Macaca fascicularis: one gene and its partners. The protein of the gene in region 1 purifies or fractionates together with the protein of each later gene. This does not show direct contact. Links are inferred from orthologs where the notes say so. Each region holds a gene or a part of one and is shown in the gene's direction. Other genes may lie near its edges. The genes, in order: HSCB, SDHAF1 and ISCU.

What was found.
Region 2: the proteins of HSCB (region 1) and SDHAF1 purify together in Homo sapiens (co-immunoprecipitation; 3 studies listed by BioGRID and IntAct, with this or other methods). This does not show direct contact. The link is inferred for Macaca fascicularis from reciprocal best matches to the Homo sapiens genes HSCB and SDHAF1.
Region 3: the proteins of HSCB (region 1) and ISCU purify together in Homo sapiens (affinity purification with western blotting; 3 studies listed by BioGRID and IntAct, with this or other methods). This does not show direct contact. The link is inferred for Macaca fascicularis from reciprocal best matches to the Homo sapiens genes HSCB and ISCU.

The regions. Positions count from the first base shown.
Region 1 is NC_088384.1:22,920,490-22,924,138, reverse strand, and holds part of HSCB (iron-sulfur cluster co-chaperone protein HscB), read left to right. Parts: intron 1-286; coding exon 287-376; coding exon of another isoform or gene 377-381; intron 382-1,543; coding exon 1,544-1,688; intron 1,689-3,649.
Region 2 is NC_088393.1:43,235,838-43,239,005, forward strand, and holds SDHAF1 (succinate dehydrogenase assembly factor 1, mitochondrial), read left to right. Parts: upstream 1-1,411; 5' UTR 1,412-1,498; coding exon 1,499-1,846; 3' UTR 1,847-2,523; downstream 2,524-3,168.
Region 3 is NC_088385.1:115,395,285-115,399,545, forward strand, and holds the start of ISCU (iron-sulfur cluster assembly enzyme ISCU), read left to right. Parts: upstream 1-1,361; 5' UTR 1,362-1,388; coding exon 1,389-1,502; intron 1,503-2,393; exon of another isoform or gene 2,394-3,024; coding exon 3,025-3,138; intron 3,139-4,031; coding exon 4,032-4,142; intron 4,143-4,261.

The DNA.
Region 1 (3,649 bases):
GCAGGCGGATCACTTGAAGTCGGGAGTTCAAGACCAGCCTGGCCAACATGGTGAAACCCTGTCTCTACTAAAAATATAAAAATTAGCCTAGTGCAGTGGCACACGCTTATAGTCCCAGCTACTTGAGAGGCTAAGGCAGGAGGATCACTTGAACGTGGGAGACAGAGGTTGCAGTGAGCTGAGTTCATGCCACTGCCACTCCAGCCTGGATGACTCTGTCTAAAAAAAAAAAAAAAAAAACTTTGTAATTTGGATGGTAAAGTACTATCTTCATCTCCACTAACAGACTGAAAAGGACTTCTCAGAGAAGCATTCGACCCTGGTGAATGACGCCTATAAGACCCTCCTCGCCCCCCTGAGCAGAGGACTGTACCTTGTAAGGTGATTTCCCAACCCTTTTGTGCATGAAGTCCTGATGCCCATTATGACATAGGACAGCCACGTCCCCTTTATTCAGCAGAAGAGTGCTTGAGGTCGGGCATGGTGGCTCACACCTGTAATCCCAGCACTTTAGGAGGCTGAGGTGGACAGATCACTTCAGCCCAGGAGTTCAAGACCATCCTGGGCAACATGATGACACCCCATTTCTACAAAAAATACCAAAATTAGCTGGGCATGGTGGCATACACCTGTAGTCCCAGCTACTCTGGAGTTGAAGCAGGAGGATCACTTGAGCCTGAGAGGTCGAGGCTACAGTGAGCTGTGATTGTACTACTGCACCCTCTCAAAAAAAAAAAAGAGTCCAGGGACCCAATAGTATTTAGCCTTACAGCACAAGTATAATTTTCTCTGTGAATATTACTTGCCTCAACAGCATTTTTTAAATTGTTATTTTCTAGCTTTTTTCTATGAATTTCAAGGATTTGATGTTGGTAGCTTTTAGTTAAAAGTCATTTTCTGTTGTGTTTTTTTTATTTTCCCCTCTCAAAAGTATCTTAAGAGGCCAGGCATGGTGGCTCACGCCTGTAATCCCAGCACTTTGGGAGGCCGAGGCAGGTGGATCACGAGGTCAGGAGTTCAAGACCAGCCTGGTCAAGGTGGTGAAACCCTGCCTCTACAAAAAATACAAAATAATTAGCCAGACGTGGTGGCAGGTGCCTCTAATCCCAGCTACTTGAGAGGCTGAGGCAGAGAATTGCTTCCCCAGGAGGCAGAGGTTGCAGTGAGCTGAGATCATGCCACTGCACTCCAGCCTGGGTAACAGAGCGAGACTTCATCTCAAAAAAAAAAAAAAAAAGTATCTTACAATCTAGAAAATTTTGTAATTGAATAGAATCTTTAGAAACATCTAGTTCAACCTCTGGGTGGAGGGATGACTACCCCAAGATCACACCAAGGTCACACAGTTTCAGGTAGCATTAAGTGGAAATCCCATTCCAGCATTTATGTTTCAGTCCAACCTTTTGATACCCCTTAGTCTTTCATTACTGGGACTGTTCCAGTTTTCTCTATTAGAGGTATTATTTCCTAACGGATGAGTAGGATTTAGATTACTCTGCCCATAGTTTCTTCAACTTATTTTTCTTGCTTTCTGCCCCAATAGCTAAAGCTCCATGGAATAGAGATTCCTGAAAGGACAGATTATGAAATGGACAGGCAATTTCTCATGGAAATAATGGAAATCAATGAAAAACTTGCAGAAGCTGAAAGTGAAGCTGCCATGAAAGAGATTGAATCCATTGTCAAAGGTGAAAGACAAAATAGCACCGAATGTATTTCATTGCTTGTCCAAGGATAAGTGAAAAATGAACGTAAAGAGTACATAATGGCCCAGGCACAGTGGCTCATGCCTATAATCCCAGCACTTTGGGAGGCCAAGGCGAGTGGATCACCTGAGGTCAGGCGTTCAAGACCAGCCTGGCCAACATGGTGAAACCCTATCTCTACTAAAAATACAAAAATTAGCCAGGTGTGGTAGCAGGCGCCTGTAGTCCCAGCTACTCGGGAGGCTGAGGCAGGAGAATGGCATGAACCCAGGAGGCAGAGCTTGCAGTGAGCGGAAATCACGCCACTGCACTCCAGCCTGGGCGACAGAGCGAGACTCCGTCTCAAAAAAAAAAAAAAAAAAAGGAAGGTTATTTACTTTAAGGAATTAGCTCACATAATTGTGGGAGCTGGCACATCTAAAATCTATAGGGTAGGACTGGGCGCAGTGGCTCATGCCTGTAATCCCAGCATTTTGGGAGACCGAGAAGGGCAGATCCCTTGAGTCTAGGAGTTCGAGACCAGCCTGGGCAATGTGGCGAAACTCCATCTGTGAAAAAAAAGACTAAAAAATCAGCCAAGCATCGACCGGGCGTGGTGGCTCACGCCTGTAATCCCAGCACTTTGGGAGGCCGAGGCAGGTGGATCACCTGAGGTTGGGGGTTCGAGACCAGCCAGGCCAACATGGAGAAACCCCGTCTCTACTAAAAATAGAAAATTAGCCGAGCATGGTGGTGCATGCCTATAATCCCAGCTACTCGGGAGGCTGAGGCAGGAGAATCGCTTGAACTTGGGAGGCGGGGCTTGCAGTGAGCCGAGATTGTGCCACTGCACTCCAGCCTGGGCAACAGAGTGAGACTCTGTCTCAAAAAAAAAAAAAAAAAAATCAGCCAAGCGTGGAGGTGCACACTTGTGGTCCCAGCTATCCGGGAGGCTGAGGTGGGAGAATCACCTGAGCCCGGGTGTCAGAGCTTGCAGTGAGCTGAGATCACGCCACTGCACTCCAGCCTGAGTGACAGTGAGACCCTGTCACAAAAAAATAAATAAATAAAATCTATAAGGTAGATAAGCAGGCTGAAAGTCTAGGCAGGATTTCTATGTTACAGTCTTGCTACAGAATTCCTTCCCAGAAAACCTGTTTTTGCACTTAATGCCTCTACTTGATTGGATGAGGCCCACCCACATTATGTAGGGTAACATCCATTACTTAAAGTCAACTGATTATAAATGTTAATCACATCTACAAATACCTTCACAGGATCATCTAAACTAGTTGGTTTTTGTTTTTTTGAGACATGGTCTCACTCTGTCACCCAGGCTGGAGCGCAGTGGTACAGTCACAGCTCACTGTAGCCTTGACCCATGGGCTCAAGCAATCTTCTCACCTCAACCTCTTGGATAGCTGGGACTACAGGCGTGCATCACCACGCCTGGCTAATTTTTTGTGTCTTTTATAGAGATGGGATTTCGCCATGTTGCCCAGGCTGGCTTTAAACTCCTGGGTTCAAAGCAATCCCCCTGCCTCAGTCTCCCAAAGTGCTGGGATTACAGGCGTGACTCAATGTGCCTGGCAAACAACTGGGCACCATAGCCTAGCCAACTTGACTCATCAAATTGACCATTCCACATATAAAAGATTCCAAGGTTCTCTGTTAGACTCTATTCATTACATACTTTCACAGATATTTGTAGTGTTCTACTACAAATATCAGGCACTGCGTATGACACTGAGGATACAGCATAGAACAAGAAAGACTGTGCCTTCTTGGAGTTTATATATGTCAACTGTGCCCAAAATGGATTCCCAAGTGTCTCCCCTCCCCACCTTTCCCCTAAAAAAAACCTGTTCCTCTTAGGCCGGGCGCGGTGGCTCACGCCTGTAATCCCTGCACTTGGGGAGGCCGAGGCAGGCGGATCACGAGGTCGGGAGATCAAGACCATCCTG
Region 2 (3,168 bases), on another chromosome or scaffold:
AGTGCTGGGATTACAGGCTTGAGCCACCGCGCCCGGCCTCTAGGACATGTATTTTTGATAGACATACATACACCCGACAGGCAGGATTCACAGTGGTTTCTGATTCTCCCTTGACTCCGAAACTCCAAGCCTAATCTCCGCCCCTGACCAGCTTCTCCTCTCTGAAGAGGAACGGACCCCCAGCTGGCTGCCGGCCCAAGTGTGTGAGCCGCAGTTGCACGCTGGGTGGAGGGGTCTGGGGTTGTCACCGAGCGGTCCCCCAAGCTCCGGTGCTGGTGGGGCCTGAGGATGCTGTGTCCTTGCGGGCCTCCCTGGCGCTACCAGGACGCCTCCAAGCGGCCCGCGGGGACAACAACGGCATTGCGGCCTACGACCTGAAGCTCCTGGGAGGACAACGGGCTGCCAGTCTAGTCCACTGTTCAGGGCGTCCCAGACTCCCGGCTTTAACAGTCCGTGAGGACCCAAACACCGCTGCCCAGTGCCCCGACTCCCACCTGCAGAGGGCGCGACCAACCCAGCTCCTAGAGCCACACGCTGCCTCTGGGGGCTTGGCGCCCACACCCCCTCTGCTTGTCTTCCCCTAGCACGGAGAAGCCTGTCCAACCGGCCGAGAGCCATTTCCCTACGGGGCCTCGTCCCTCTGCACGTGCCTAGGGCTGGGACCCCAGACACAGACCTGCCCCGGACGAGGGAACGCACGGAGATTCCCGAGATGGTTTCAATCAGTAACTGACGGCAAGAGCACGCTTGTGCCCAGTGTCTCTCCCAGTGCTCCACGCCGTTGGGACCCAAAGTCCGAACCCGTAGCAGGCCGCAGTGGCTCACGCCTGGAATCCCAACACTTTGGGAGGCTGAGAATCGTTTGAGCCCAGGAGTTCGAGGCCATCCTGGGCAACATAGCGAGACCCCATCTCTGCAAATAATAATAATAATAAAATAGGGGGCGCGGTTGCGCGCACCTGTGGTTCCAGCTACTCGGGAAGTTGAGGTGGGAGGATCGCTTGGGCCCAGGAGTTCGAGGCTGCAGTGAGCCAAGATCGTGCCACTGCACTCCAGCCTGGGCGACAGAGTGAGACCCCGTCACAAAAAAAACAAACAAAAAAACAAACCCTAGCTTCCTCTTCTCCCAGAACGCAGGAGTTAGGTCAGGACTCTCTGTTCCCTCCGACCCAAGACCTAGGAGTCCGAACACATAGCGACCTCCTCCTACGACACGCAGGTGCCAGGATCCCCAGAACTGCTGTCCCTTCAAGAACACGTGTTCCCTACAGGGGAGGCCGCGACCAGAGACTCCGCCCACTTCTCCCAGCCCGCTGTGGTGCAACAGCAACGACAGCCAATCAGACGCGGCAGCGCCGGATGGCGGGAGGCGGGAGTTGGGGGCCAAGGGAAGCGCAGGGCGGAAGTGGCTGTGGCTTTGCCCTTTGGCCTTGGCTCGCTGTGTGGCGGCTCGGCGGTTAGCAGGGAGTTCGCTGAGCGTCTCTGCCTAGCCGCGGTCATGAGCCGGCACAGCCGGCTGCAGAGGCAGGTTCTGAGCCTGTACCGCGATCTGCTGCGTGCCGGACGCGGGAAACCGGGCGCCGAGGCGCGAGTGCGGGCCGAGTTCCGGCAGCACGCGGGCCTGCCGCGCTCCGACGTGCTGCGCATAGAGTACCTGTACCGCCGCGGGCGGCGCCAGCTGCAGCTGCTACGCTCGGGCCACGCCACCGCCATGGGCGCCTTCGTACGCCCGCGGGCCCCGACCGAGGAGCCTGGCGGCGTGGGTTCCCAGCCTGACGACGGCGACGGTCCAAGGAACCCCCACGACAGCACGGGGGCACCGGAGACCCGGCCCGACGGACGGTGACTGGCGAAGAGCCGAACTCGCTCGATGGCGTGGTGGAGCCAGGAGGCTCGCCTGACTGCGTGGGGGGCCTGGGGAACCCGCCTAAGGTGAGAGATCTCGAGAGACTAGCTCGACGAATTGGGGATGTCAGAGACTGCCCCTTGGCGACGCAGGGGGCCTAGAGAGCCTCATGATGGACGGCAAGAGAGGCCCACCTTTTCCGGTGCTTGGAGACAGGTCGGCGCTCCTCCCGTATGAGGGCTTGGGGCGGCCTGGGACGCCGGCGGGCTGGACAGTGTCAAGCCGAGAGCTACTTGCCCGAAGGTACGGGGAGCCAGGACGCCCCCTGCTGGACAGGGAGAGCCTGAGACACCCTTCTCTTGACCCCTGAGAACACACCCACCTCTGGCTCCTCGAGTCTCCCCTCTCCTATATTTAACTCTGAGAAGTGCAGACTTTTTGCTGAGAAAGTATTGGGAAGGTTCCCTGATCAAGCGGTGAGAAGCCCGGAATCCCCTTTGGGAAAACTTTCCCCCATTAATTGTGACAAGCCAGGACCACGAGGAAGGGGCTAGCGGTCTGTCACCCTGGTTGATCAACTAAAGGGCCCTACTTGATGGTTTTGAGGGGCAACGTTGACTCATTTGCCCCTTCCCTCTCAGAATGTTGGACAAAGGGAATAAAATTGGGGATATGTCTACTTTCCTGTTGGTGGTCTTAAAGCTTTTATATATTTGAGGATTTTTGAAACACCCCCCCCCCCCCCACCACCACCACCGCACACACACACAGACACCTGGAAGGGACCATCTGGGAGGTAATAGGTGTGGGAATCTGACTCCCTCCGGAGTCCTCTAGACTGGCACATTGATTGAAGCAGCATAGTTCTCTCCCCTGGGCAGATTTGTGGAGGGGGTTCATCCTGGCTTAACCCCCAAAGATACCCCAGTTGGCTCCCTAATGGAGGGCAAGTTGTTTAACATCTTTGTGTGGGACAGGAAATGGTGGAGCTGAGAACTGGCTCAAAGCCTCTGAGGCAGTAGTGGGGGTCTCAGACCTGGAAATTTCTCAAACACAGCTGAAGGGTCCAGCCTCAGCTACAATGAACGACAAGGCCTGGGGCAGGGGAGGGGAGATGAACCCCATAGATCACAGGTATACTCCCTCCTGTGTCCCCATATGGGCCTGCCCTAGACATTCTGTGGAGGGATGCAGTTTGCATCACTGAGCTGTATTTGCACCCATGTCAGTTAAGTAAGTGGAAATGAGTTCTTGTGGATGTAGCTGTGGGGAGGAGGACCACAGGTAAGGAGCATAGACCTCAGACCAAAGGGAGGATGGAT
Region 3 (4,261 bases), on another chromosome or scaffold:
ACCCGCTGAGGCAGAAGCTGCCCGCGGCGCGCGCCTTATCAAAAGCCCGTTTTCTTGACACTGAAAGGGAAACTGGGAACCTTAGATAACGAGAAAATCTCCAAATACACTAAATTCATTTTATTTTATACCCCTGTAAAAACTCCCACCAGAGAAAAAACTCATTATCATGGCATACGTTCCGTCACAACTTCGGACAGAAGTTGGGTCTTTGGGCAGGAAGTGGAGGCCATAGAGGAAGTCATGAAGCGAGCGTGGTGTCTGTAGTAAAGAATTTGGCGCCATCTTGAGAAGGTCAAAGTGATTCTTAGAAAAAATACCTTACTTATCGCCTAGTGTGACCTGGCGCTTGGGTTTAGTCTCCCCAGCAACTGCACCTCAAACGCAAAGAAAACTGCAGGTCCTCGGGGAAGGATCGATTTCACCATTCAAGAGAAAAATCCATTTCCCAAAGAAATTCTTCCCCTTTATGTAAACATCTGGTACCTAGGAGGCGTTAAATACACTTGAGTTTTCCGGTTTTATAAGCTCACATACTGCAAACCAACAGTAAATACGCATTTCTTTAGAAATTCTTAATTGCTAGGCACCGACATATAAATTGAATTTGCTGTTGTTTCAGAGAGAAAAATAGACATATACTCATTTTTTTTCAATCAGGACATGGTGTTCGTTTCCTTCTTAAGCTTCCCATTGTTGAGGTAGGCAAGTACTGGAGTGTGTCTCTATCTCTACCTTGCTCCCTCATTAGCAAGCTTAATGGGCAGGAATTACGTCTGTTTTGCTTTCTGTTGGATCCCCGGGTCTAGTAGAGTGCCTTGACACATAGTAGGTACTCAACACAGATGCTGGCTTCATGATGAAGGAATTGTCCTCGAATTAATACAAAAAGGAAGATTCAGACTTAGCAAGCCGGTACCATTTGTCTAGGGACACACAGCCAGGAAGGAACCGAACCAGGATTCTAACCCAGGACTACCCAAGTTCGAATTCTAGTTGAACCTAAGCCCTAAGCGACCTTGGACGGAGTGACCAAACTGCCCTGAATCTCAGCTTCCTTAGCTGCAAAATAGGGTTAGGAAAAGTGGACTCAGTGGTCCTCTGCGCCGCATTCCCACACTGCAGAAGCCTGAGATCCTCTCTCAACCAGAATCCAGCACCCAGGACAAGCCCTCTAGCGACTTCAGACCTTCCCGCTCCCGACCCCGCCCGCCCCCGAGAGGCGTGGTCAAGGCGGGGCCACAGGGCGGAGGCTTGCACGGAACGGTAAGGCGCAGGCGCAAAGCCTCGGTGACGCCAGAGAGGCGCGCTCCCAGCTCGGCGCCGACTCGCAGACGCGCCCCGCCCCTCGGCATCGCTCTGGACTGGCGCAGGCGCAAGCCGGCAAGATGGCGGCAGCTGGAGCTGGCCGTCTGAGGCGGGCAGCGTCGGCTCTGCTGCTCCGGAGCCCCCGCCTGCCCGCCCGGGAGCTATCGGCCCCGGCCCGACTCTATCACAAGAAGGTAGGGACAAACGAGGGGACACGCGGAATGCCGACTCGGGGGAGGCCTGGGCTGGAGCGGCGGCCGCGGGGTTCTACGCAGCCAGGACTAGCTGTCGCCTCCCACGTCTTTGCCCTGACTCACTTTCCCTTGCTGCGCAGTGAGGCTCACTGCAACTGATAAACAACAGTTACCGCTCATCGGGCTGCGACTTCCAGGGGGCCCCGCCGCTGGCCGCGACTTCGTGCGTCCCAACTTTAAATTCGCCAACAGCCCAGGAGGCAGGGTCCTGTTGGGACTTGTCTTTTAGAGTCCAGGGACAGACACACCCCCGGAGCGGGCTCCGGCTTCAGCCACGCTGCTGCCCTGGCTAGATGACCTTGCGCTAGTCACTGCGCCTCTCTGAACTTGTTTCCCCAGGTGTAAATGAGGACTCTCAGCTGTCTCTTACAAAGGATACTGTGCATGGAGTCCTGTCATGGTTCCTGGCACATAGGCCCCAGCACGAGGAGACCGTTTCTGTTACTGCTTTAGGAGTGCATAGGGGAGTCAGGCTTGTAACCAACATGCGTAGTGTTTTTGTTTTGTTTTGGGGGTTTTTTTTTGGCGGGGAAGGAGGGATAGATGCATAGTTTGCAGCCCCTTGCTGTCTGGTGACGCAAAGTCCCCCAGACGTGAGACTCCCACTCTAGAAACAAAGAATGCCATAAATCAACGTGGCACAAAAAGTCCCTCCGTTAGATACTATCCTATAGGGGCCTTTACTTGGAGTCAAAATCCTTAGTCAGATGGGGAGGAAAAGGGGACTGGAAGATCGGGGTGCTTACTACTAACCAGTAACCACATTAAGGCCTTCTGTGTGCCAGTTCGAATGGATGTTGATTCTGATCTGGCCTCTGCCCTTTCTCCAAGGGCTTCTTCACTCCTCCCCCTCCCGGCGGTGTGTTTCGTTGAGGGTACACCCCGAGGAAACTTGGACTAGCAGCCTTTCAGCAGCCAGGGTGCGCTGCTGCACCAGGGTGATGACAGGCTCTGAAATACGGTAATGGCACTGTTTTTATTTTGAAAGACACATAAACGTACACATTCCATAGCATTGTTCTCTGTGTAACAGTCACCTTAAGGCTTCTAAAAGTTTTCCCTTCCTGGGCCATAGTTATTTTTAGAATTTTTAAATAGTAATCATCCTTTGAGGATAGTTTTTATTTGAAAATAACAAAACTGCTGTTTGAGCCCAAGTCTGGTGATGTAGGTGGGTAAAAGTCAAGTATTTTTGTAAAAACCCTATGGAATTAAGACATGATTTCACTGATATTTTTTTCTTCTAGGTGTCGCTAATCTGTGAAGTAGTTGTAGAGGAGACACAAAAGGAATTGGGGGTCACAAATGGTTCTCACTGACATGAGTGTAGACCTTTCTACTCAGGTGAAATTTGGTGATTGCCTGCCAGGTTCAAGATGCTGACTTCCAGGAGCTTGCCACCATACCAGAGACCAGCACCAATAGAGAGTGAACACGATTTATCTTAACCCTCTCATTTTAGGTTGTTGATCATTATGAAAATCCTAGAAACGTGGGGTCCCTTGACAAGACATCTAAAAATGTTGGAACTGGACTGGTGGGGGCTCCAGCATGTGGTGACGTAATGAAATTACAGGTATGGCTAGTCTTTAATAGTGATAACAATAATCCCTTTAAGTTTACAAAGCACTTGCACATACAGCATTTCACTCGGTCTCCATCTTTATTCCTGTGAGATGGGATGAGTCCATGTTAGACGTGATTGGAACAGGGCCTCAATCGTAGCTCTCCTGCCAGGCTAGTGTACTATGCCGACTTTTTCCGAAATAGAAAAGTAATCTCATTTTTGTACTCACTGTATAAGTTTAAATTCCAACTTCAGCCAACGAAAGAGTTTTGTGAATTTTACTGATCAAAGGAAAATCCCAGTGAGCTAGCAGTCCCCAATGAGATAAGAAACACAGTAAATTAAACCTGTCCCCAGATTGGGAGCAACATGAAGATAGTGTCTAGTGCTTTGGGTAAACTGTTGTTGTAGCGCCAATCTGCTGCTTCATGGTGAGTGGGCAGCTTGCCAGAGATCTTCATACCTATCTTGGAATACAGAAACAAAACAGGAGGAAACCACTAAGTATAATCTGCTGCCCAAGAAAAAAGTATTAACCAGAGACCTTTATTGTGTACTCTCTCAGTGTTTAAGAGGCAGATTGCCCCAGCAGCTGTGAGCAGACTGCCTCAAATAGAAGTTCATAGCCAAAATGCAAGCCAGAGTCGCAAAACAAAATAATATTGGGGTGGAGGAACATATTTTCCAGCTGATCTTTGTCAGTTGGGCCTGGATAATTGTCCCTGCATTTCACTTTTCATCACTGAGCTCTCTGAAACAAGGCAAAATCAGTAATTAATACCATCACTTAGTATGGAAAGCAAGCCCAAAGCCCTTGGGGAAGGCCCCAATGAACCTTCGTGAGTGCCAAGTTCCAGAGGGTGGTCCTAGGACTCACCACTTAACTCTTGTCTCTTTTCTAGATTCAAGTGGATGAAAAGGGGAAAATTGTGGATGCTAGGTTTAAAACATTTGGCTGTGGTTCTGCAATTGCCTCCAGCTCATTAGCCACTGAATGGGTGAAAGGAAAGACGGTAAGGTTGCTCACAAATCTGACAGAATGAAATTGCATTCACCCCAAGCCTGTCTCTTGACGGGTCTAATGGGTCAAAAACAACCATAACTTTTTTTTAATATTCTGAATTTTTAAAGT